2 linked regions of the Mytilus edulis genome follow. The protein of the gene in region 2 interacts with the protein of the main gene of each other region in a pairwise test. Links are inferred from orthologs where the notes say so. Each region holds a gene or a part of one and is shown on either strand. Other genes may lie near its edges. The genes, in order: protein Dr1-like and transcription initiation factor TFIID subunit 11-like.

The links.
Region 1: the proteins of transcription initiation factor TFIID subunit 11-like (region 2) and protein Dr1-like interact in binary tests that used the Drosophila melanogaster proteins (3 or more experiments, as listed by UniProt). The link is inferred for Mytilus edulis from reciprocal best matches to the Drosophila melanogaster genes Taf11 and NC2beta.

Annotation. Positions count from the first base shown.
Region 1 is NC_092345.1:62,857,232-62,869,944, reverse strand, and holds the start of protein Dr1-like, read left to right. Parts: upstream 1-6,393; 5' UTR 6,394-6,481; intron 6,482-12,709; 5' UTR 12,710-12,713. UniProt on the Drosophila melanogaster protein: Bifunctional basic transcription factor. Activates transcription of DPE (Downstream Promoter Element) containing promoters while repressing transcription of promoters which contain TATA elements.
Region 2 is NC_092350.1:19,131,310-19,144,303, forward strand, and holds the start of transcription initiation factor TFIID subunit 11-like, read right to left. Parts: upstream 5,264-12,994; 5' UTR 5,218-5,263; coding exon 4,970-5,217; intron 3,428-4,969; coding exon 3,340-3,427; intron 1-3,339. UniProt on the Drosophila melanogaster protein: The TFIID basal transcription factor complex plays a major role in the initiation of RNA polymerase II (Pol II)-dependent transcription.

The sequences.
Region 1 (12,713 bases), on a different chromosome or scaffold from region 2:
ATTGGATAAATAAAAATTGACTAAATTATCAACTGTCAATACTCTTAGCAATGTTTGCAAGGTCAATGATTTTCTAAGATTTGTTTTTTAAAAGATCAGGATAGACAATGTTCATTCTGTTGAGTGTAATTAATATTTTTAATGTAACATGCAGTAATGCATATCAAACCTGTTCTTGTTCTTGTTCCTTTTTTCCTCTCTTCGATTGTCTTACATTTCCTACAAATGATAAAAAACATAACACGACTTATGTTTTGATGACAAGAGGTAACCAAATCTGAATTCAGCATGAGGTAACCAAATCCAATATTAACATAAGGTGGCCAGAGGTCACCAAATCTAATATTAACATAAGGTGACCAGAGGTCACCAAATCCAATATTTACATAAGGTGACCAGAGGTCATCAAATCCAATATATGAATAAGGTGACCAGAAGGTACCCAATTCTAGCATGTTAAGGCCACCAGAGGTTAACATATCCCATTTCTGATTAAGATGACCACATGTAATCAAATTAAATATTTATGTAAGGTAATCAAGAAACAAAAAAATGATTTGTTCAATCAAGCCTAAGTGGCCATTTTACCAGTCACGATTGCAAGATTTAAGTTCAAAAAGAATAATAGTTGCAGCATTATATAAACATAGTGTATGTTTTCATCATATTAAAGGTTTGACACAATTAATTAAATGCATACATACCACTCTCATCTACATTTTCTGAAAACTTCTGAAAAAAAAAAGATAAATATAGGATAATTGTATTAGTAAATTCAATTTTATTTATCCAAAAGTATCTTATGAGGATCAGTATTATTTTACTTAATTAGCAACTGGCAATGCTCTTGGCAATGTTTGAAAGATCAAGTATTTTTCTTTGCTTTGTTTGTAGATGATCATGAAAGATAATGTTCATTGTGTAAAGTTTTATCGGTATATTAAACTTAATGTTATAATATTCTATATTCTTGTTGAACCAATAATGTATATCAAACCTGTTCTTCTTCTTTTTTTCTCTCTCTTTCATTGTCTCAAACTTTCTACAAATGATATGAAAAACATCAACTAGTTGTATGTAAATGTTAATTACCAGAGATGACCAAATCTGAAATCTGCATAAGGTGACCAGAGGTAACCAAATCCAATATTTACATAAGGTGACCAGGGTCACCAAATTTAATATTAACATAAAGTGACCAGAGGTAACCAAATCCAATTTAAACATAAGTTGACCAGAGATAACCAAATCCAATATAAACATAAGGTGACCAGAGATAACCAAATCCAATATTAACATAAGGTGACCAGAGGTCACCAAATCTAATATATAAATAAGGTGACCAGAGGTAACTTAATCTTATATTACCAGAGGTCTTCAAATCCAATATTAACAAAAGGTGACCAGAGGTCACCAAATCCAATATATGAATAAGGTGACCAGAAGTTACCCCATTCTAGCATGTTAAGGCCACCAAAGGTTATCAAATCCCATTTCTGGTTAAGATGACCACATGTAATCAAATTAAATATTTGTGTAAGGTAATCAAGAAACAAAAATGATTTGTTCAATCAAGCCTAAGTGGCCATTTTACTAGAAACGATTGCAAGTATTAAGTTCAAAAAGATGAATAGTTGCAGCATTATATAAGCATAGTGTATGTTTCCATCATATTAAAGGTTTAATACAATAAATAAAATGCATACATACCACTCTCATCTACATTTTCTGAGGAGTTCTGAAAAAAGAAGATAAACATATGATAATTGTATTAGTAAATTCAATTTCATTTATCCAAAAGTATCTGATGAGGATAAGTAGAAATATTGACTAAATTATCGACTGTTCATGCTCTTGGCAATATTTGAAAGATCAAGGATTTTTCTTTGATTTGTTTGTAGATGATCATGAAAGATAATGTTCATTGTGTAAAGTTTTATCGATATATTAAACTTAATGTAATAATATTCTATATTCTTGTTGAACCCAAAATGTATATCAAACCTGTTCTTCTTCTTTTTTCTCTTTCTTTGATCGTCTCAAACTTTCTACAAATGATATGAAAAACATCAACTAGTTGTATGTAAATGTTAATTACCAGAGATGACCAAATCTGAAATCTGCATAAGGTGACCAGAGGTAACCAAATCCAATATTTACATAAGGTGACCAGAAGTCACCAAATCTAATATTAACATAAGGTGACCAGAAGTTACCCCATTCTAACATATAAAGTTTAACAGATGTTAACAAATCCCATTTCTGGTTAAGATGACCACATGTAATCAAATTCTATATTTGTGTAAGGTAATCAAGAAACATAAAAATGATTTGTTAAATCAAGCCTAAGTGGCCATTTTACCAGAAACGATTGCAAGTTTTAAGTTCAAAAAGAATAATAGTTGCAGCATTATATAAACATAGTGTATGTTTCCATCATATTAAAGGTTTTATACAATAAATTAAATGCATACATACCACTCTCATCTCCATTTTCTGGGGACTTCTGAAAAAAGAAGATTTCCTTCTAGTCTGTGATTCGAACATTCAAAAAAACGTGTCATCACAAATGACAAATCATGCAAAATGGATGAAACGAATATTTTGCTTTGAATGACTTAATTAAACTTAAGTTTGTGTTATTCGTTGTATTCAATTGCTCGGTATGTTGATTTTACTTACAGATAATACAGACGGTGACAGGCTCTAGATATATGGTGTATTGCTAAATAGAAAGAAGAATGGTCTATTTTTAGTTTTCTATTTTTAGAACACCAATATTACTACACAGAAGAGTACTATTTATAGGGTGACCAGTGGGCACCGTTCAGCGTAACTATTATCCTTGTGCACACCAGATATGATTAGAAAGATCTAGTCTTTGCCTTATGTAACTCCGGGCATAAAAAGGACTACATAGGTAGGTAGGTAGGTTTGATAATGTTCCCCATGATATCTTGTCACCAAGCAACTAATTAAAAATCAAAGCGCTGTAAGCACTGTAGGCAGTTAACCAAAAACCAAGTCAAACATAATTATGAAAACTGTGGCAATATTGCTTCATTTTTTTTTTAAAGATTTAAAAGAACAAACATTAAACATTCATATATAATTGTACATTTATGTTCATTTAATGAATTAATCATTAAGGCAAATAATTCATATTTTATCAAGGTTTTCAATAGCAACGTATATATCAAGTATATTTTTTTCATGGTCATGAGTCTCGAGTCAGCAGTGGTACAAATTCGCAATGATTGCAGTTCTTCTAGTTGATCGTAATTGTTCGTATTAGTTGACTGTTTGTATTTTAAGTTGACTTTAGTACGAGCTTGTAAAATATGAATGGACTTGCTTCGAATTCCCTGGAAAGAAAACTGAGTTTGTGTTCTACAGTACAAAAGTTATGAGACACAAATCAGACACAAATGTTTACTACTACAGGGATCAATAGTGAGGTCTGACTGACCTGTTCATAGTAAATGTAAATGACTCCCACCTTCAACCCAAGTCCATGATGTCTAAGTTCGGAATAAAATGACAGGTGTTAGGTCTAGCAAATTGATATGCATATGTGACGCCTATGAGATTGACCTTGTATGTCATTCAATCTTTTTGAAATGACAAACAGGAATGAATATGGTTTAGGAGTTGGTATCTCAATCTTTTACAAGTTCTCAAAACACACACAAGAGGGTGTGAGTGACCCTAGGGACTACCCCTATTTTTCATTTGATTTGTTATATTGTCCCATATATGAATATATATGGTTTAGGGGTGGGGGACCCCAGTGACTTCCCCTATATTTCATTTGATTTGTTATATTGTCCAATACATGAATATATATGGTTGAGGGGTTGGGATCTCATCTGTTTCCAAGTTATCAAACAGGATTGGATAGGGGTGACCCTTAGGACTCTCCCTATATTTCATTTGATTTGTTCTTTTTTCCCATACATGAAAATATATGGTTTAATTTAAGGCTATGATCTCGACTATTTCCAAGTTCTCAAACAACAGGAGGGTTGGGGTGACCACAGGGACTTCCCCTATATTTTATTGATTTGTTATTTAGTCCCATACATGAGTATATATGGTTACGTGGTGAGGATCTCGACTGTTTCCAAGTTCTCAAACATGAGGGTGCAGTGACCCTAGGGACTCCCCCTATAATTCATTTGATTTATTATATTGTCCAATACATGAATATATATATGGTTTATGGAGGGGATCTCAACCGTTTTCAAATTCTCAAACAGGAAGGGGTAGAGTGGCCCCACGAACTCCACCTATATTTCATATTGATTTGTTATATTGTCCCATACATGAATAATTTTCATGATATGGTTTAGGGGTGGGGATCTCGACCGTTTCCAAGTTCTCAAACAGGAGGGGTGGGATGACCCACAGGGACTCCCCCTATATTTCATTCGATTTATTATATTGTCCCATACATAAATATATATGGTTTAGGGGTGGGGATCTCGACTGTTTCAAAGTTCCCAAACAGGAGTGGTGGGGTGACCCCAGGGACTCCCCCTGTATTTCATTCATGCGCGTAGCTACGTTTACGTCAAAACGCCCGGGCGTACACTTGAATTTTTAAAATAAAACAAATATTCGACATAGAATAAGAAAAACTGGTCAAAAGCACATCAGCCTTGTGCTTCTTTTTTCAATGGATTGTAATTTTGAATAAAAAGGGACTAAATTTACTCAAATAAATCATTTAATATATTTGTTCGAATCTTTGGTAAAAGTCTGAATCTACTATGAATTCTACGTACTTTTCTTATATTTAAAGCAATTCACTATCTGCTCAGATTCGATATGCTGTTTGTATTTTTGTCGAGCCAGTGATTTATGTCCCAAAAGCGAGACAACATTTAGGTTCCGAATGTGGATAAAGTCTTTTGAATGACTTTCCGTGAAATTTTACGAAAGTTGGACAGAAACTGTTTATGAACAAGAGAGTATTCAGAGCAATATAATAATGCAATTATATCTTTAATTTTCCCGCATTTTAAGGACAAAATGTATTTCTTTCTGCAATTAATAAGTGGTCGCAGTTTGGGCTTACATTTTGTTATTTCTCAATTACATTAACTACTTGTCGAACCTTCATCGAATTTTATGAAAATGCCGAAGAAGCTTTTTTTTCTATTACTTATTTCTAAAGCTAAAATTTTGAAAGCATTTTTTTCGTTAATTTTCTATTCTTTTCTGATAGACAGCAGGATAGCCGGACTCTTCTTTACGCAATTAATTGTTTTACATGCTCAATTTATAAACCTTCATAGATTGTCGTGAAATATTCCAGATCAAGAAAAAAAATATCAAAAGAAAATTTTAGATTTTTTTTAAATCCCTTTAAAGGAACGATAAATTGATTCACTTTTTGTGGGAAGAAATCCTAGGTGTTCCAGAAGTTTTTTTATATTGCACCTCTTAGAAATATTTTTTTTTCGTGTTCATTAAAAGGTGCTTTTGTGGATTGTATGCTCACTCACGGCACCATTTAAACTTATTTAAAAGTAATATTGGTTTGGACGTTTTCTGTAAAACCAATGACCATTAGGCTAGCTTCCAGTTTAACACGATGAATAAGTTAACATATTACAAGATTTAACCAAAACAAACAAACCATTTACGGATTCAAAAGTATGTTGCTATCAATGATTTTTTACTGACAGGAATCATTACGGTATCTCATTCTCGATAGCTTTCGGGGGCTTCGTCCCTTTCGAACCCACTACCAGCAGGTGCTTTAACATTGAGCGGTTGACACCCCTCATATCCCTCGCCAAGGTTCGGGCGTACACGTAAAAATGACCCAGCTACGCCACTGGGAGGTATACATGATAACGTGATAATTAACCTCCTTTGTGTATATAGGGAAATGCTGAAGATTTTCTATAAAATGTCAATATGTTTAGCTTTGAAAAAAAGATACAATCCTTAAAGAAGTATACCATGGGGCGCATAAATTTTTAATGCAAAATCGGTAGACAATTAAATTTTTGCTCAAAATGGCCTGAATAGAATAGAATAGAATAGAAACATGATTTTTATTTTCCAAATTACAGGGCCCATAAAGGGCATAAAATCAGATACAATATATTTCTCTTGCAACAAAAGTTTCTCATTTCTGGATTTTGTTTGTTCTGGGAACAGTATATCTAACTGTTAATATATATATGTTCCTGGTTTTTTTTAGTAAACAATAACATCAAATGTTCTATTTTTGTCAAAGTAGGTTCAGAGACATATATATAATGAGTATCTATGTCTCTGGTAGGTCTATCTTATTTTACAAAGTTGGAGTGGGAGTTGGGGTGACCGAGACCTCGTAAAATCCGGAAACAAAAGCCGAAATTGATTACACATTTATAATTTTCTAATTACCTCCCTTCTCTTCCTAAACAGAAGGAAAGAAAGAAATGTTTCATTGATTGCAACGTACTATTTTAACAAAGCCCTTGTAAGAATATAGAACTCTAATGTATGTTAACGAAATATATCCCAACAATGAATGAATGCTTTATATAAATCCAAACGAGCGATTGACAAACAAGAACGTAATGGCAAAATATCAAACTCGAAGCAACTGTGGAAATCAAAACAAACATGTAAAATGTATATTTTATAGTTCATTATACATATCTTTGTAATAATAAGGCATATGCTATAATTGTTTGGGGATACAGTTGGTATTGTAGCCATTTTGCATATTTGCAATACCATACAATTATAGCCTTTGTATGAGGTCGACAGTACCTCGAATGACCGAATAACACTGTTAATATCCAAATTACACTTGTAAAGACTGAATAACACTTGAAATTTTTAATATTACCACATATTGGTGACTTTTAAACATTGATCATTAAATTATAGTATATTATCAATGTATTTCATAACTTATAAATGATTTATACTTACTTAATGAGTGATTTTCTAAATCACTGGTTTAAGTAACATTATTTCCATAAAAGTTGGAAGTAAGAGTTGTCTTTCTTTAATAATCACCTATTTAAGTAGTACAAATTAATCACTAGAAGAAGTGATTTAATCTTATTGTAGCTTTAAATAAAGAATACAAATGATCCAGGGACTAATTATGTTTCTAAACTTATCAGAACCAACATCTGTGTTGTTTAGGATGACCAGGTCATTTCAGGTGATGACCTTGTACTGAATCTAGGATAATGACATTAAAATCACTTGTTTAAGTATCATACCTCAATTTCCTTCCCAAAAATCACTTATTTAAGTATCATTATTTTAATAACCCCCACTAATTTCAACACCTGCGAACAGTGAAATTTTTATCGCGAACAGTAGAATTTTATTACATAATCTGAAAGATGAAACCTTGAACTTTACAGGAAAAATACTCCCACTGCCTGGAAAAATCTGTTATGAAAGTATCAGTTCATTATGTAAAGCCATTATTATAGCATTTTTTCAACTAAAATAGAATTTTCAGCTAAATGATAGCATCAAAGGCATAAACCTTACTACTTAAAAGAAGCAAAAAGTTCATTTTTTTCAATTTTACTAATTAAAAGATATTATTTAAACCTATGTGTTTAAAATTTTGAAAAAACTACAAAATCCCAATTTGTGACAAAACTTTGAATTTGCTACTCAAATAAGTGATTTAAAAATCACTTATTTCAGTAAGTCCCCTGACTGTAGAAAGAAGATTAGTTCATAACAAACTTTTAAAATTTAGTGTGTACGTCCAACATGGTGACCACAGACATCACATTGGCCGCCATGTTCTATTCTATGTTTTATTAGGATAATAACAGTGTTATTCGGTCATTCGTGTTACCCTGAGGTCGCTACAAGGATGTATTCTCTATTTTCTATTCTATTCTAACATATAGTGATCACCTTCAACAAATTGAAGATGATATCACAGGAGGAAATATTGACCTGAAAGAAGTATATTGACAGAGGACGAAGTCCTAGGTAGATATACTTCTTTGGGTCAGTGTATCCTGTATTGACTTCATACATAGACTTGGTCTTTGATTACTCTGACATCCAACGGATGTTTTGCCAGACAAGCTGGGGCCATGGGACGTCAGAGCTTGTCCCATATCAAAAATGGATATTTGCCCATCCAAAATAGATGCGCTGCTTCTTCGCTTCTGGTGCCAACAGACGGCCTTGGAATTATATAAATCGGGTATCAATTTGTTCATTTTTTATTAGCTCACCTGACCTGAAAGGTCAAGTGAGCTTTTCTCATCACTTGGCGTCCGTCGTCCGTGGTCTGGGGTCCGTAAACTTTTACAAAAATCTTCTCCTCTGAAACTACTGGGCCAAATTTAATCACACTTGGCCACAATCATCCTTGGGGTATCTAGTTTAAAAAATGTGTCCTATGACCTGGCCATCAAACCAAGATGGCTGCCATGGCTAAAAATAGAACACAGGGGTAAAATGTATATTTTGGCTTATATCTTTAAAACCAAAGCATTTAGAGCAAATCTGACTTGGGTAAAATTGTTGATCAGGTCAAGATCTATCTGCCCTGAAATTTTCAGACGAATCGGATAACCTGTTGTTGGGTTGCTGCCCCTGAATTGGTAATTTTAAGAAAATTTTGCAGTTTTTATATGACCGCAAAAATTGAAAATTTTTTGGTCGTATATTGGTATGATGTTGGCGTCGTCGTCTGCGTCGTCGGCATCGTCGTCGTTGTCCGAATACTTTTAGTTTTCGCACTCTAACTTTAGTAAAAGTGAATAGACATCTATGAAATTTTGACACAAGGTTTGTGACCACAAAAGGAAGGTTGGGATTGATTTTGGGAGTTTTGGTCCCAATATTTTAGGAATTAGGGGCCAAAAAGGGCCCAAATAAGCATTTTCTTGGTTTTCGCACTATAACTTTAGTTTAAGAAAATAGAAATCTATGAAATTTTAACACAAGGTTTATGACTACAAAAGGAAGGATGGGATTGATTTTGGGATGTTTAATTCCAACAGTTTAGGAATTAGGGGCTAAAAAAGGGCCCAAATAAGCATTATTCTTGGTTTTCGCACAATAACTTTAGTATAAGTAAATAGAAATCAATGAAATGTAAACACAAGGTTTATGACCACAAAAGGAAGGTTTGGATCGATTTTGGGAGTTGAGGTCTCAACAGTTTAGGAATTAGGGGCCAAAAAGGGGCCCAAATAAGCATTAGTCTTGGTTTTCGCACCATAACTTTAGTATAAGTAAATAGAAATCTATGAAATTTAAACACAAGGTTTATGACCATAAAAGGAAGGTTGGGTTTTATTTTGGGAGTTTTGGTCCTAACAGTTTAGGAATAAGGGGCCCAAAGGGTCCAAAATTGAACTTTGTTTGATTTCATCAAAAATTGAATAATTGGGGTTCTTTGATATGCCGAATCTAACTGTGTATGTAGATTCTTAAGTTTTGGTCCCGTTTTCAAATTGGTCTAGATTAAGGTCCAAAGGGTCCAAAATTAAACTTAGTTTGATTTTAACAAAAATTGAATCCTTGAGGTTCTTTGATATGCTGAATCTAAACATGTACTTAGATTTTTGATTATGGACCCAGTTTTCAAGTTGGTTCAAATCAGGATCCAAAATTATTAAATTAAGTATTGAGCAATAGCAAGAAATTTTCAATTGCACAGTATTCAGCAATAGCAAGAAATCTTCAATTGCACAGTATTGTGCAATAGCAAATATTTTCAATTACACAGTATTGCGCAATAGTAAGAAATATCTAATTGCACAATATTGTGCAATAGCAAGAAATTTTCAATTGGAGTTATCTTTCTTTGTTCAGAATAGTAGTTGAATCAACTTAAATCATTGTTTTATACAATATACAATGTATATTTACTTTTACTACCAACCAATCTTTACCATTCAGTGATAACAAGCACTTTATTTTACATTTTAATATTTTATGATGTATTTAAGAGTAGTTATTGTTGCAAACTCCATTAGAAATTTGAATTGATATCAGTTTTGGAAAAAGGGAAAGGGGGATGTGAAAAAAAAAATGAGAGGGGGGGGGGGGTTAAATTTTTCTCATTTCAGATTTCATAAATAAAAAGAAAATTTCTTCAAACATATTTTTGAGAGGATTAATATTCAACAGCATAGTGAATTGCTCAAAGGCAAAAAAAAATAATTTTAAGTTCATTAGTCCACATTCATTCTGTGTCAGAAACCTATTCTGTGTCAACTATTTAATTTTAGATTTAAATAAGTTTGAAGAAGAAATCTTTAATTGATTTGTAAAATCTTGACATTTGTTTTTGTGTAAAAAACCCATATAATGTCAAAAATTTGATCACAATCCAAGTTCAGAGCTGTATCATGCTTGAATGTTTTGTCCATACTTGCCCCAACTGTTCAGGGTTCGACCTCTGCGGTCGTATAAAGCTGCGCCCTGCGGAACACCTGGTTGGTTATTATTTTGAATACTATTATAGATAGAGATAAACTGTTACAGCAATAATGTTCAGCAAAATAAGACCTACAAATAAGTTAACATGACCAAAATTGTCAGTCAACCCCTTAAGGAGTTATTGCCCTTTATAGTCAATTTTAACAACTTTTTTGTAACTTGTACAAAAATCTTCTTCTCTGAAACTACTCAGCCAAATTTAAACTAACTTGGCCACAATCATAATTGTGGTATATACTTTAAAAAATGTGTCCGATGACCCCACCTACCAAACAAAATGGCCGACATGGCTAAAATTATAACATAGTGGTAAAATGCAGTTTTTGCTTTATTTCTTCGAAACCAAGACATTTAGGGCAAATCTTTTAAGAAAGATTTAAATGTCCATCAGGATAAGATCAATCCCCTCACAAATTTTCAGGTGAATCCTACAACAGTTGTTGGGTTGCTGCCCTAAAATTGGTAATTTTAAGGAAATTTTGCAGTTTTTGGTTATTATTTTGAATACTATTATAGATAGAGATAAACTGTAAACAGCAATATTGTTCATCAAAGTAAGATCTACAAATAAGTCAAACATGACCAAAATTGTCAGAGAACCCCTTAAGGAGTTATTGTCCTTTATAGTCAATATTGAACAACTTTTCGTCATTTTTGTAACTTGTACAAAAATCTTCTTTTCTAAAACTATTGGCCAAATTTAACCAAACTTGGCCACAATCATTACTAGGGTATCTATTTTAAAAAAGTGTCTAATGAGCCCTGCCTACCAACCAAGATGGCCGACATCAGTAACAGGTGAGTGACACAGGCTCTTGAGAGCCTCTAGTTTATCTCTTCATTTATGTAAGTTTCACCTACCTGCCACCCTTTATTTTCTCATATTTAGACAGTTTTCACAGTGACCCACCGGTTCTTGCATTTCAACTACTGTCATGTGATCACGAGAAAAAACTTAGGCACAATGGACTATGAGAAATGATATGACCTTAGGTCAATATGAATATATAATCTAACACCTCCCTCATTAACGATGCCATCAATGTTAATATCTAAGAGCTTCCGAATGTGATCGTGGTTGGCACTAAATGCTTAATACTGATCTCCTGTGAAGGAGGTGAAAAATCATGGTTGACTACTAAATGTTAAATAACGATCCCCTATAAAGGAGGTGAAAAAAGTATAAACATTTGCATATTTGAGTCTCGAGGTCGCGAAATCTCTCGTAATTTAACTTCCATGCATTTGAAAATAACTGTAAAAATGTCTGAATCAATGGGTCACTGTGAAAACTGTCTAAAAAGAGAAAATAAAGGGTGGCAGGTAGGTGAAACTTACATAAATGAAGAAATAAATGAAAAATGAACAAATTGATGCCCGATTTATATAATTCCAGGGCCGTCCGTTGGCACCAGAGGGGACGAAGCAGCGCATCTATTTTAGACGGGCAATTATCTACTTAGTAATCTAGGACTAACATAGACTATAATTGTTATATTATTAATTTCCAACCCTATTTGTGTCAAAATCGTCATTGGATTTTATTGGAATTTTATTGATATCATATTGTCTCTTAGACTTTGATGTAAACCTTTTGTGACTGAGTCACTGTCCTCTTGTATATATAAACTCTCTGTTTTACTTAATATTCCCTATTTAGTATACACATTTATGTTATAAATAATTTACGGCTTTTAAAAAAGTATATATAAGATATTCTGAACTTTTAAAAAGCAATTTGCAAAATAAGGGAACAACATCATAGGCCTCTCAGCCTTATCAGATCTCATCAAGAACACAAAATTCAATCATTTTTTTCTTGACAACCCTGCCTAGTATTTGACATTTTTTTTTTAAATACAGAGCAGGCATAATAAGCATTTGAAAATCAGAATGCACATAAAATTAGAAATGCAGAACATGTTGAACGAGGCATCTGTCTTGCACGACTGAACGTCAAATAAAAAAGTAAAAACATGCATGTTGAACATGTTATAAAAAATGGCGATCACATTGCAAGAAAATAACCCTTTACCACCCTCACAATAGACAAGTTGAGTTTTAGAATCGTTTTATATTATACAGTGTTAAATGACAAAATATTGTTAGTATACATATACTGTGTACTTGTTGGAGTATAATGACAATCACTAAAGGATATTTTCCACATTTTATAAAGTTTATATATTATTAAAATTGTTCAGTATTTATGCATTGCCAAGAAGAATCTACTTATATATCTTTTCTTTCTTTTTAGATAA
Region 2 (12,994 bases):
TTTTCCAGAAAATACATCGTGTAAAAACATTTCCGAGGAAACCAAATTAACGGAGGTTGAGACATATGACATAAAAACAGATGTACATATTTATGTTTGATATGTCTACACCCCCCCCCCTTTCCCCCCAACCGAAAAAAAAACAAGAAAAAAACAATCGCACACAGGCTGAGACATGACTGGTAATATTGTGTTTTGTTATTTAGTCCATCTACACAAATGAGGTTGGACCTTAAACGGGACTCTGGGATCGGGTGTTTTTCAGCACGGGATTTTGGGATTGATCCTTTATGAATCCGGCTATTCTTTTTTCGAATTTCGGTATGGGATTGAAATTTCTATAAGTTCGGGACCTCGGGATTTCATGTTTTTAAAGCCGGGATTTCGGGATCAGGACCCCTGCACCCCCTGGATGCTGTCTTATTGAAGTACTGACTACTTACGGGATTTACATTTAACTTTCGGTACTGAAAGTCTGTGACATTGTGCATATTTTTCAGTCGGTATATATATATAGTAGTACTATGATATAGAGGTGATTGATATAATCTCGTTCTCAACCTTCAAGTTTTATGAGTGAATTTAGAATTGAGAACAGTTCTATTGTATATTGAGATGCTACTTTCAGCTAGGGTACATTTTTTTTTATTCGGTTAATTTTTACGAATCAATACTATTAGGATACTAAGCCCTGTATAAATCTTTAAACCAAATACTATTTATACATGTATCTATTTAAAGATTTGGGTTCTATTTTTAACATCGAAATTGCGGACGTGAAAGAAAGCACCATTAAAAAAAAACAACGTTAGATTACAAAATGTAGCGATGGATTAATGATCGTGAAACATCATTTTTGCTTATTTTTAATTTGTTATAGTCTAAAAACTGTGTATGAATATTAAAATAATTGTTCCAACCGTGAACAAGGTTAATTAATTTGTATTATAGTTTAGTGTCATCTATGACTGACTGACAGCAGCGGCGAATTTATGACCAGTATTAGTTTATGTGGTTCATTTCCTTTTCTCTAATTTGAAAATATTTTTACTTGTTCCGACTGGTGTGATAATTTTCAAAATATGGGAGATATTATAGTCTTACCGTACAACTTTTAACTTTAGTATTAATGTCCCAAAATTGCACCCTTCTGCTTATTTTCTGCTAGACGATGTCTTTTCCCAGTGAATATAGGGTTTTTGAAAGTACAGTTTTGACATACTACATATAGAATACTTCCGAGACCACACTGTTTTTTCTCATCACAATTATGTAGAAATAGTAGTGAGCAACAGTTTTCACACTTATTTTAACGTCAGCAGATATATACAAACGTCCTGATTTTCATTTTGAAGATCGTCTTCAGGACTGTTTTCATATTCATTTTCAATTTTTAATTTTAGAAAAACAAGTTCATTCTCCTATAAGTAACATACTTTCCGTCAAATTTACCGTTGACGTTGTCCCATCGAAAAGTCGCCGGGTGCAATTTTAACATTGCAAAATCTGGTCAAAGGGACGTAATTCGTACAAAACGTCGCAATATTTCGCGGAATCCGCTAGACGGCGTTCATTTACTGTTACTTTACCTTAACTAGTTCCACTTTTCAATAGAGAATGGTTTTTTTTTGTAACAGTTACATGTACTAAAAGTAAGTACATGTACATATTAAAATACAGGTCAAACAATAATGTTATTACAGTTAAACCAGCTTTAGCCTAATTGTTGATGATGTTTTAGCTACAAGTAAATGATGAACGCTAAGACAATAAAGCCAAGTCAATTTACTGTGTAAGTTTAAACCATAAATCATAATATGATATTTTTTACACTGGACGTTAAGCAACCAACAATCAATCAATCAATCAATGATATTTTTCCTCATTTGAAAACAAAGCTTATTCCAATCCAATGACATTACATTTGTATTTTTTATGTTATATGTATTTTTTGCAAAACATAGTACAAGTACAAGAGGCTGTCACAACGACAGCAAACCGGATTTATTAACATTTATTTGTGTCCTGGCTATATCACAAGAACCATTACTGATGAATGGTGAAAGTGAAAATCGTCAATATCAAATTTGACCTCCATTTTGTCATCAGTATCAACATATTAAAATTTGAAAAGCTTAGATTGAATGGTTCATGAGTAAATGCAACAACCTGAATGGAAACGCCATTTTACGATCTTTCAAGAACCATAACTCCTGAACGGTAAAAGTCAAAATCGTCATTATTGAACTTGACCTCTATTTTGTCATTAGTAACAACATATTAAAATTTCAAAAGCTTTGGTTGAATGGTTCATGAGAAAATGCACGGACACGACGGGAAAAACCATTTTTCAATCTTTCAAGAACCATAACTCCTGAACGGTAAAAGTCAAAATTGTCATTATTGAACTTGACCTCCATTTTGTCATCAGTAACAGCATATTAAAATTTCGGAAGCTTTGGTAGAACAGTTCATGCATAAATGCATAGACACGACTGGAAACTCTATTTTTCAATCTTTCAAGAACCATAACTCCTGAAAGGTAAAAGTCAAATTCGTCATTATTGAACTTGACCTCCATTCTTTCATTAGTAACAACATATTAAAATTTGGGAAGCTTTGGTAGAACAGTTCATGCGTAAATGCACGGACAACTCCATTTTTCAATCTTTCAAGAACCATAACTCCTGAACGGTAAAAGTCAAAATCGCCATTATTGAACTTGACCTTTGTATAGTTGTCAGTAATAACATATTAAAATTTTAAAAGCTTTGGTTGAACGGTTCATGAGTTAATGCACGGACAACATTTGATTGCCGCCCGCCCGCCCGCCCGACAGCCCGTCTGCCGCCCGCCCGCCCGCCGTACATCCCCAAATCACAAAAATCCGGTTAAAAATTGATCATAACATATAAACAGAATTATGTGCATTGAAGACTAAAAAAAATGAGTGAGTTTTATTGTAAAGTTTTTTTTGTGAAACATCTTCCTGTATCATGTGTATGTTATTTGACTGAAACTTGAATTGTTTCAAAGAAAACTTCTTCATACATACAAAGATGTCTTATATTAATGGTTTTGTTTGTTTAGTGGACTTTCTCTTCTTTAAAATTTTGTAGTGGTGTAACTGTTGTTTGTTCTGTTTCAACATGTACATGTTTACAAAATGTAGATTGACCCATTTGTACTCACTAAATTTGTAGTTTTTTATGTAATAAAAATGGCATTATATATGCATGAACAATTTTATACCCGAGTGATACTTCATAGAATGTTTGTTCAAGGCACCATACATGTACATATTTTATAATAATTATTTATACAAAAATTATATATTACCCTTTTAATTGAAGCTTTTGGAAATGCAGCTCTTCTGTACATTTCATATCTATTAAGTTGATCTTCTGTAAAGTTTGACACTAAAACCCTGAAATATACATTCAAAATTACAATACTTTTTCTTTAAACTGCAATTAAGTTCAATTAAAATCACAACTTTAACGCTGAAATAATAAGGTTAAAAGTGGAAGAAAATAATGTATCTATCTTTACTTTAGAATAAGGTCCGGAACACAATTACCATCCCTTGAAACAACTTTGTCAACAAAAGTTCCTAGTGAACATAAGGGCACCAATGATCTCCATGGATGAAAATTTATTGATCCAGCATCTACAGTGAAGTGTCATGGAAAGAATTTAATTCCTTTATTTGCATGTAAGGAATGGTGAACAAAAAACTTCAGAAGCCCCTTTCCAAAAAGTATTTAGCCACTTTTAACAAAAAATTTCATTGCAACATACTCTGCAATACACATTTGTTGATTATGAATGATAACCAGATGTTTTAAAAGGATTGTAAACTAGATATATGCTCTCTAAATTCAGATACAATGTAAGAAATTTCATCAGATTATCAAGTTCCAGTTAATATTCATATTTACTTTTTAATTTGTACAGGGATTCAATATCATCCCTTATTGATTTGCAAGTGTTCTTGGTACCAAATTATGTTTTCATTATGTCTTATTTTCACCTGTTTAAAAAGGGGATTGCTGATTGCGTAAGTCAGTATAAAAGCATGTGTTGAATGTTTTTGTTATTTTCTTTTTCACTTGTTAATAATTTATTTTTTTCATTCAAATTTTGATAGCATTTGCTGAACCAAAATAGTGTAATCAATTGTCTATCTTAATCAAGTGTTCTCCAGTCAGATGTGTCAATTTTTCTGTACAAGCTAGTGATTAGTGGTCTTTTGTAGGATATTATCCCTCAGGACTTTAAAACTGGAATTAGGAAAATTAAATTATACTTCAATAAGCCTATGGATTATGCAATTATGTACAACTGATTATAATTGCTGACATAAATGGCGGCAAGAGAACGAAACAAATTTGTCCATGACGGATGATTTAACGGTTGCAGGGATAATTAGAAGGAGGCTAGGCTCATATAGCAGGTCATGGAGATGAGGCGATTTGCCAGTGGGGAGAGGTTTGATGAATTCATTATACACCTTATCGCTATTTGTCTGCCATTACTGGATATCACACAGGTTCCCATAAAATTTAAATGTCATAAAACATAATAACTGACGCCAAATGGAAAAGTAATTGTTGTATGCATCAAGTTCAAACGGCCGGGACAGCTGGGATTACAATTAGTTGTATTCAGATTGGTTGTTTGTACAATGTCAATACGTACACCTTATCGCTATTTGTCCGCCATTACTGGATATCACACAGGTTCCCGTAAAGTTTTGACGTCATAAAACAAAATAACTGACGCCACAATGGAAAAGTGATTGTTGTATGCGTCAAAAGTTCAAGCGGCCGGGTCAGCCGGGATTAGCGATAAGGTGTATGACGTCCATGACATTGACAATGTAGATATTCAGTGTATTCAGAGGAACAAAGGTATGCCATTCACGTATACAACATTGAGAGCATACAACTGATTGTTTATTACGTACTGCATCTTCAATCGTTCTTCTTCTTGTTTTTCTTTTTTATGTTTATTAGCATTTTCCTCTTCTGGTGTTTCAAGCTTTCTTTTTCTTTCCTGAGATGGGCTAACACTTGATGCCTTTCCATCAGTTTTTGTCTCCTTTAGTTGCTTCTCTGGTGTTGTTTCACTCTCTGATCCAGATTGTCCTTCCTTCTCCACATCTTTTTCCACTTTTATAGGAGAGATTTTCGGTGAATCATTTGGCTGGCTCATTTTGTTTTCACCCGGAAGTGAATATCTGAGAACAAATGCACTTTCAAGTTTGATGTAATTTATGTTTGTATTAAACACATGTGTGACAGGACTAATCTCAGATGAAGGATTTCAAAAGTTGACGTTACGTCATCTTTTTTAAAAGCATTGATCTATTAGCTGAAAGTAAAATACTCAAAAGGTATATGATGACTTTAAAGTTCAACACTTTTGACCAAAAGTGCACTTTTCTCTCCGCCGAAAGCGTATGAATAACAAGTGCCCAGAATGTAAACAAAGTTTCAACATTATGTTTCGTGGTTCAAACTTAATTTGTTCTCCTTTTATTAATTCTGAGAAGACAATGATATGATTCTATAGTTCATTAGTATGGTTGATTTCTCAGCTAATCAATACTTAACTGGGAATGTTTGGTGAACTATTTAATGACATGATCGGCGGATGACCTCATTTCCGGTAAGAGTAAACAGTGAAATCACCTGGACATTTTATCAAGCAAGGAAAAAGAAGGGGAAAAGTGCCTGACAGTAATCTTTTCCATGTGAATTTTCACTTAACCGCTGAAATTTGGAGACTTAAGAATAAACTCCTGAAGGCCCGGGTAAGTAAATTATCAACCGTCAATACTGTCGCCCAGAAAACGGTTCAGTCATCATGAGTGATTAAAGCCCCACGTTATTCTTTTGGTATTGTCTGTTCAGTATGAAGAAACAATAGTGTCATATTGTATACCGTACTTCTAAGATACCAAAATTAAGACTTGCGGTAATTTGGAAGTTTTAAGATCAAAATGATTGGATGTCAGACTTATTCAGAAACTTTTTGAATGTCTGTGCGGTTCTTAAAATAATAGACAAGAGAAAACTTATAGCCTAATATAGGAAGTAAAATTGGTCATTGGAAAGGCTAAAACAATAAGTTTTAATAATCTCCCATATTTATATCTGTGTCAAATGTTAGGGATAAAGCATTAATTTCATTTAAAATTAATTTTCTCCTCTGTCTTGTCATGACACCATATATGATGGCCATAATACACTATCATGACTATAGGCAGTAGCAATTGCACTTACAATCTTGGAACGGCAAGATACACCATACCACACTCCTCAAAGCAAAGTTAAAGCTAAATGTTCAAACGAAGCAGAACCACACAATAGGTAGAAGCCAGTCCGCAATATCCAGACAGGATAGCCACATATCATCATCATGACTATATCGCTATTTGATCGCTAATACTGAACATCACTCGAGTTCTCGCAAATTTTGATGTCGTACATGTAGTAGTGAATGTCTTGACGCCACAAAAAAATGTAATAGTTGGTTGACGTCAATAGTTCATGTGTAATAGATTCATACATATACAATTCTAACAATTGCAGTGAAAGGCTTTGTACATGTATATAGAAATACAAACAGACACCTCCCAACCCCACAGCATTCAGGTGTGAGATTGATATGTTGCTGACACACTACCTGCATTGGTTTTTATATACAATTTACAATGTTTTAGTTTATTAGATGGTGTACCAGTGATATTGTAATCTTTTTTCAAAACTTCGGTTAACTACCTCTACCGTTTTTTATTGGGAAAATGCATATTTTTTTTTATTGAAATAGGGAAATTTGTATATTTTATTTAAAACCCATCTACGATTTTTTGCTGACCTGTGCTGTCTTTTTTGCACTGTTTTTCATGTATATTTTAATTTGGTTGTCAGACATTTTCAACCTGAAAGGTACTTTTTGGAGAGGGGAAAGAAACAGAAACAATGATGGTATTTATTGCATTGAAAACCACATGTGTTACAAACACCATGATGATTCTGATCAGAAAACCGGATCTCAAAAGTGCTTCCTAACATCAAAATAATAACATGAATACGAAATTTACAAACATTACTACCAATGCCATCACTGTTTGGGGAAAATGTAAACTTCAGGGATCTCCATGGCCTGTCTTGCGCCATCGTCAAATGACTTGCACTATCGTTCAAATGTCTTGCGCCATCGTCAAATGACTTGCGCCATCGTTCAAAACTGTGATAGTTTTTATAGCCTGATGCCATTTTTTTAGCAATTATAATCAAATGCATGTAATTGCATAACCTTCAGGCTTTCTTTACAGTATAATCCAGTTCAAACGCCTGAGGGATATCCGGATTAGATCGCTAATCACTTGTACCTGAGCCCTGAGCTTGTACAGGTAGATCAACAAAGCAGACAGGAGAATATTATCTGAAGATAGACGATTCATTTGTCAAATTATTTAATTAAGTTTCCGCAAATGCTTATGATAATTCAGATTAAATAAATAAATTAATAGTCCAGTTACAAAGTTTAACAACAACAAGTAGAACACATGCTTTTATTTTGACTTACGCAATCAGCATCCCCCTTTTTAAGAAGTACAAAATAAGACGTAAAACAGAGAAGTTATTATTTCATCGCATATAACTGGAGTACTGCTGTATTGTAACGATAATATATAGTGTTTCCTACAGGTGGTTTTGGCGTGTAATGGCGCCCTGCCGCGATTTCTTGACGCCCTGCCCTTTTTGGGGAAAAAAATTGGCGCCCTGCCCTAATTTTGTCGAAATTCCTGACGCCATGCCTTTATCGTCGTAATTAACAACCGGTACTGAAAGACATATTTTATGAATACCGCTCGAGTTATTTCCCTTCAAAACAAAAGTTCACTAGGTCGCCATTTAGTAATCGATTTCGTAATCAGCTGATTAGCAAACTGCAATAGATTGAATAGTGAATACAGATACTAATCACGGGTCCTGATTGTATCCCCCAAGTCCCAGAAACATCGTTTTGCCTAGAAGATTAATGAAAAAACATCGTTGTGATGCTTAGATAATTTTTTTTTACAGCTGATAGATTTCTAATTTACATAATTTACATTGTTTGCATGGTTGAACAAGCCAATGAACGGCGATCATGAGACATTTGTCAAATTGAAAAGTAAAAATTCTTTGCAAACTATTTTTTAGATACAAATGCTTGACTGTACCTTAAATGAAATGAATAAAAATCCAAACTAAATTATTAAAAGCAGAATAATCCAGAAAATAAATGAATTCCTTGATCAAATGTTTTCTTTTGTTTACAAACATGTCACATGATCATTTTAGGCGGGGAAAATACTTGGGAAAACACCTAAGTAACAGACAACTATGTCTGGCTATTTATAGACATTGAAAATAAACAGCTGATATGGTAGTGCCATGAAAGTAGTAAAACTTGTTGTATCTATATTAATTTAATTTGGAAAAGGGTGTAGAGGGGAAGGGGTTAATTTGTAAAGTTATTTTTTTTTGTAATTTAATAAATTTTGGTTACTAAAAATTACCCTGGATATCAGGGAATGTGTCAACCTGTTTTTAGGGAAAAAAAGGAGGATTTGTCAATGACAATTGATATGACCAAAGCAATATTTTTATATACATGTATATGACATAGTGCTTTCTTGTTTTTAAAGAACTGATTTTGTTTTTAATTGTGTTTATTGTTTTAAATATTTCATATATATATGTTTTAAACACTTTTTCTTGTTTAACAATTTGTTTTAATGATTGATTACAGATGTATATGTCCTTTTTATAGTATTAAACTAGTATGTTTTAAATGAATCCATTTTATAGAAATTAAGTAAGTGCCCTAAAATTGTTGTCCATCGCGCTTAATGTGCCCTCTGAGCTAACAATTACCCTGCCCTTTTTAAAAGCTGCAGGAAACACTAATATAGAATTACTTTAAATGTTAAAAAGTAAAAACTTTTAATATTTCCTGTAAATAAATATTGTATCGTAATTCCGAATTCATTTCGTAGTTTACAATCAAATTGATACATCCGCGTTTCCGGTTTCTATTCAGACTCGAAAGATGCATGTTGCATATAGTATCGATTTGCTAGATAAAGTCATTAAAAACCTTTTCATATGACAACGTTCGCTTTACAAATCTTTTTAACCTTTACATAACCCGTACGACTCGTTTTGTCGTTGCTGCAAACCAGCCACACCGGTAATGGATTCATGAATTCTGAATTTGACAATGTCCGTGAAAAATAAGCTCTACATGAATTTTAACCCCCATTACAATTGCCAAAAATAGCAAGAAAACTACATTAGGACCTTTCGTGATAGCTATTGGTCATTCTCGACTAAGGGAAAGGGAGGGACACAAGGGCTTGGCCTTTAAAGGTTACAAACGGCAATTATTGAAAATATATATACTTTTATATAGTATTTATAATGAAAATTCAAATAAATATAAATTAAATAAGCAATGTTCACCTATCCTTATGTGGAGGGATGAAATACTTTCGATCGCGCTACACTGTACGGCGTAAATACAGTTTATGATGGTGAAAGTTCCTCCATTGTTCAATTTTCATCCATGGAGATCCCTGAACTTTTTGGGAGGAATTTTAAACATTTTTTTTAGTAATTGGGAATTTTCTCTAGGGGAAAAAGCTGAATTTTGGCTGTAATATGAGGCAAACAATATCACTGTGTACATGTATGCCACCACTTTCAACTTACATGTACATCATTTATCTTCATTGCTTTGATTGGTAGAGCAATTCCTAATCAACCACCAACAAACTCTTTCACATTAATTTCAGATTAATATTCCCATGAAAAAAGTTCCTTCACACAAGAAAGTTGATTTCCTATGACATCATTTCACAAGCTCTTTCACACATACACAAAGATCAATCAGACAAGCTCTTTCACACTGATGCAGGAATAATAATTTCCAAATCCAACAAGCTCTTTCACAGGAAGATTGACATTCCAATCCCATAGGGCTCTTTCAAACACACAAAGATTGAATTCCCAATCTGACCAGCTCTTTTGAATTCACACACACGAAGATTGACTTCCAAATCTGACAAGCTCTTTCACACACACATATCAATTTCCTTTATAGCAAGCTCTTTCACATAGATGAAAGATTGTTTTCCCAATCTGTAAAGCTCCTTCACACAGGAATGCTGATTTCAAAATCCAACAAAACTCAACCAAAAATTGTTTTCCCTTCTTTAGTCATGATCATGGTTATAGAATTCTGTTAACTGTTTTCAAAGCTGTAATCAAAAGCAAAGAATGCAACACATACATGTATTCTTTGCTTATTGATAGAATGGACATTTTGTTGCATAAAGGTGGGAACACTGCATCGTCCAATTCAGTATTACTAGCAGTCTACATGCTTAACCACAAGTCCTACAGCATTGGCTAGTAAAATTCTTTTCTACGATTAAACAGAATCCAACTAAAATTTTCAAAAAATTGAGCTTCTGGCTTCTGAGCATGTGGACTCAAAAAGTTTTAAGCGTGAAGGTTGTAGTAATATAAATACTGAACATTTGATTTGTAATGAGGTAGGTCATTTAATCGACATTGACACCTGTTCGTTTTACAAACAAATACTATAAATTACTAAACATAATTAGTATACATTCTGAAACCTGCACAAACTTTATGTTAGCTTTATGTCAACAAGAAAATGTTAAGTTGTTTATATAATTCATTGATAGAATTAATTACATGTACATAATTGTACGGGAGAACTATATTAGACAAGAGGAGACCAATACAGATGTTTGATGATGACCGCATACATGTACAATGATGTATATGTATTACATAGTATTACATAATATTTGAGACTGCAGAATTTTGTCCTTGGTGCAATGTAGGCGTTAAGATATTGATTTCATTTAGCAGTTGATCTGTGTTATATATTTTATTGTATAAATTTCATTAAATGTTAATATGACTGTGGATATATTCTTCAATTGTTTAAATTAAAGGAGATGTAGGGTAAATCATTAATGACAAATCATTGTCCATGAAACAACAAATTAACACATAACTTAGTCTTTCATTGCTAGTACTTTTCCCATTTTAAACAAGTCATTGGTACCCCTTGATTAAGAAATGACAATATACATTGTATTATGTAAGGTATTCATAGAATAAATAAAAAAAGTTCCTCTCTAAAATGTTCGAAAGACCTACCCTACATTAAAAAAAGTATCAGAAGGTAGCATTATAGCCTTAAACAATGGATAAGATATATACCATTCTGTATGACAAACATGAAATTGTTCAGGATTTGAAGAGCTTATTTATTCACTCAAATTAGAACACCAATTATCTGACATGAGGATAATTGTATTCTTAGAACTGGATTATCAGCGGTACGGTACCCTTTTAGATCAGTTTTATATTGAAAAATCTAAATATAAACTTTTTTAAAATGTCTCAAAGTAATAATAAAAGTATTACACAATACCAAAACCATATCAAAATAATATTGCAATGTATATTCATGTATATATTAATTATGCACCTGTCATTCTAGAGTTATGCCCCTTTGCAAATAGAAAAATTGCTGAATCTTGTTTCTGCCACCTTACTTAAGTTTGCTTCAACCAAATGTTATAAATGAAACTAATATGCTATGCTTATTTTATAACCATTAAATACAGAACAAGTTTGAGTTTTGGCGATGTCACTTAAAATTTCTAGAGTTATGCCCCTTTACAAATGGAAAAATTGCTTATTTTTCTTTTCCGTTCTCTAGCTATACATATAGTTTGCCTCAACCAAATGTTAAACACTTATACACTATGCTTATTACCACAAAACTCAGATCAAGTACCAATTTGGGTAGTGTCACTTTTACTGTTCTTCAGTTATTATGCCCTTCATAACTTTATATGATATGCAAGCAGGCCTAAGGGCATCATGTGTGTCCCATGGACATATTCCCTATTTTGTAACATGTACAAAGATTGGCTGTAATAGTTCCTACCTTGAAGTTCTAAGTACAGTACTCAAAAGGGCCTTGCAATTGCTGGACAAAGTACTGTATTACTAGCCTGTAAAAACTGAGGTTGTGAGTTTGAATCCAGCATGTGGCAAGTTTGCTCAAGGTCAATCTTAGGATTGTAAGTTTTCCTACAGTACTACAGGTCAGTAGTTCTTTAGGCACTTGAACTTCCTAGGCTTCTACCAATAAAAACTGACTGCCAACAAACAGCACAAAAGTGCCAAAAGTAGAGTTAAAAACACCCACCAATTAAAGTACTCCATCATTGATGGATAATTGTATATAAGACCTATACATAATTACCAGACCTGCTGGACATATAATTTTATATTTAGATACTTTAATAACTGAGGAAAACATTACATTTTGCACATGTAAGTTAATGTTATGATGTTATGGTTTAAACCTTTCAACTTTTAAACAGTTATTATTATTTTTTATTTGCATGACATTAACTATTTATTTCTGACAAATTTGAACCCCATGTGAAATAATAACTTTTTACACTTGTTCTCTTAAAATCAGCTCAGCTGTTGTATTTCCAAATTACTCATAAATATAGCAATACAATGGGTGCTGCACGTCGTGTGGAGCAGGATCTGCTTACCCTTCCAGCGCACCTGATGAGATCACCCCAAGTTGTTGATGGGGTACATGTTGTTAAGTCTTTATTTTTCTATGTTGTTTTGTGTACTTATCTTTTTCTTTTTAAGCTATGGTGTTGTTGTTTTATTTTCAATGTATGAGTTTGAATGTCCCTCTGATATCTGTCGCCCCTCTTTTATGTCTGATGGAGATTTAAATCCATATGGCGTGGCATTTGTTAATTTCTGATCCTTATTTACAGGAATTTAAAAACTTGTTAAATATAAGGCAATCAAACAGCAACCCTTTATATAGATATAGGAAGATGTGGTGT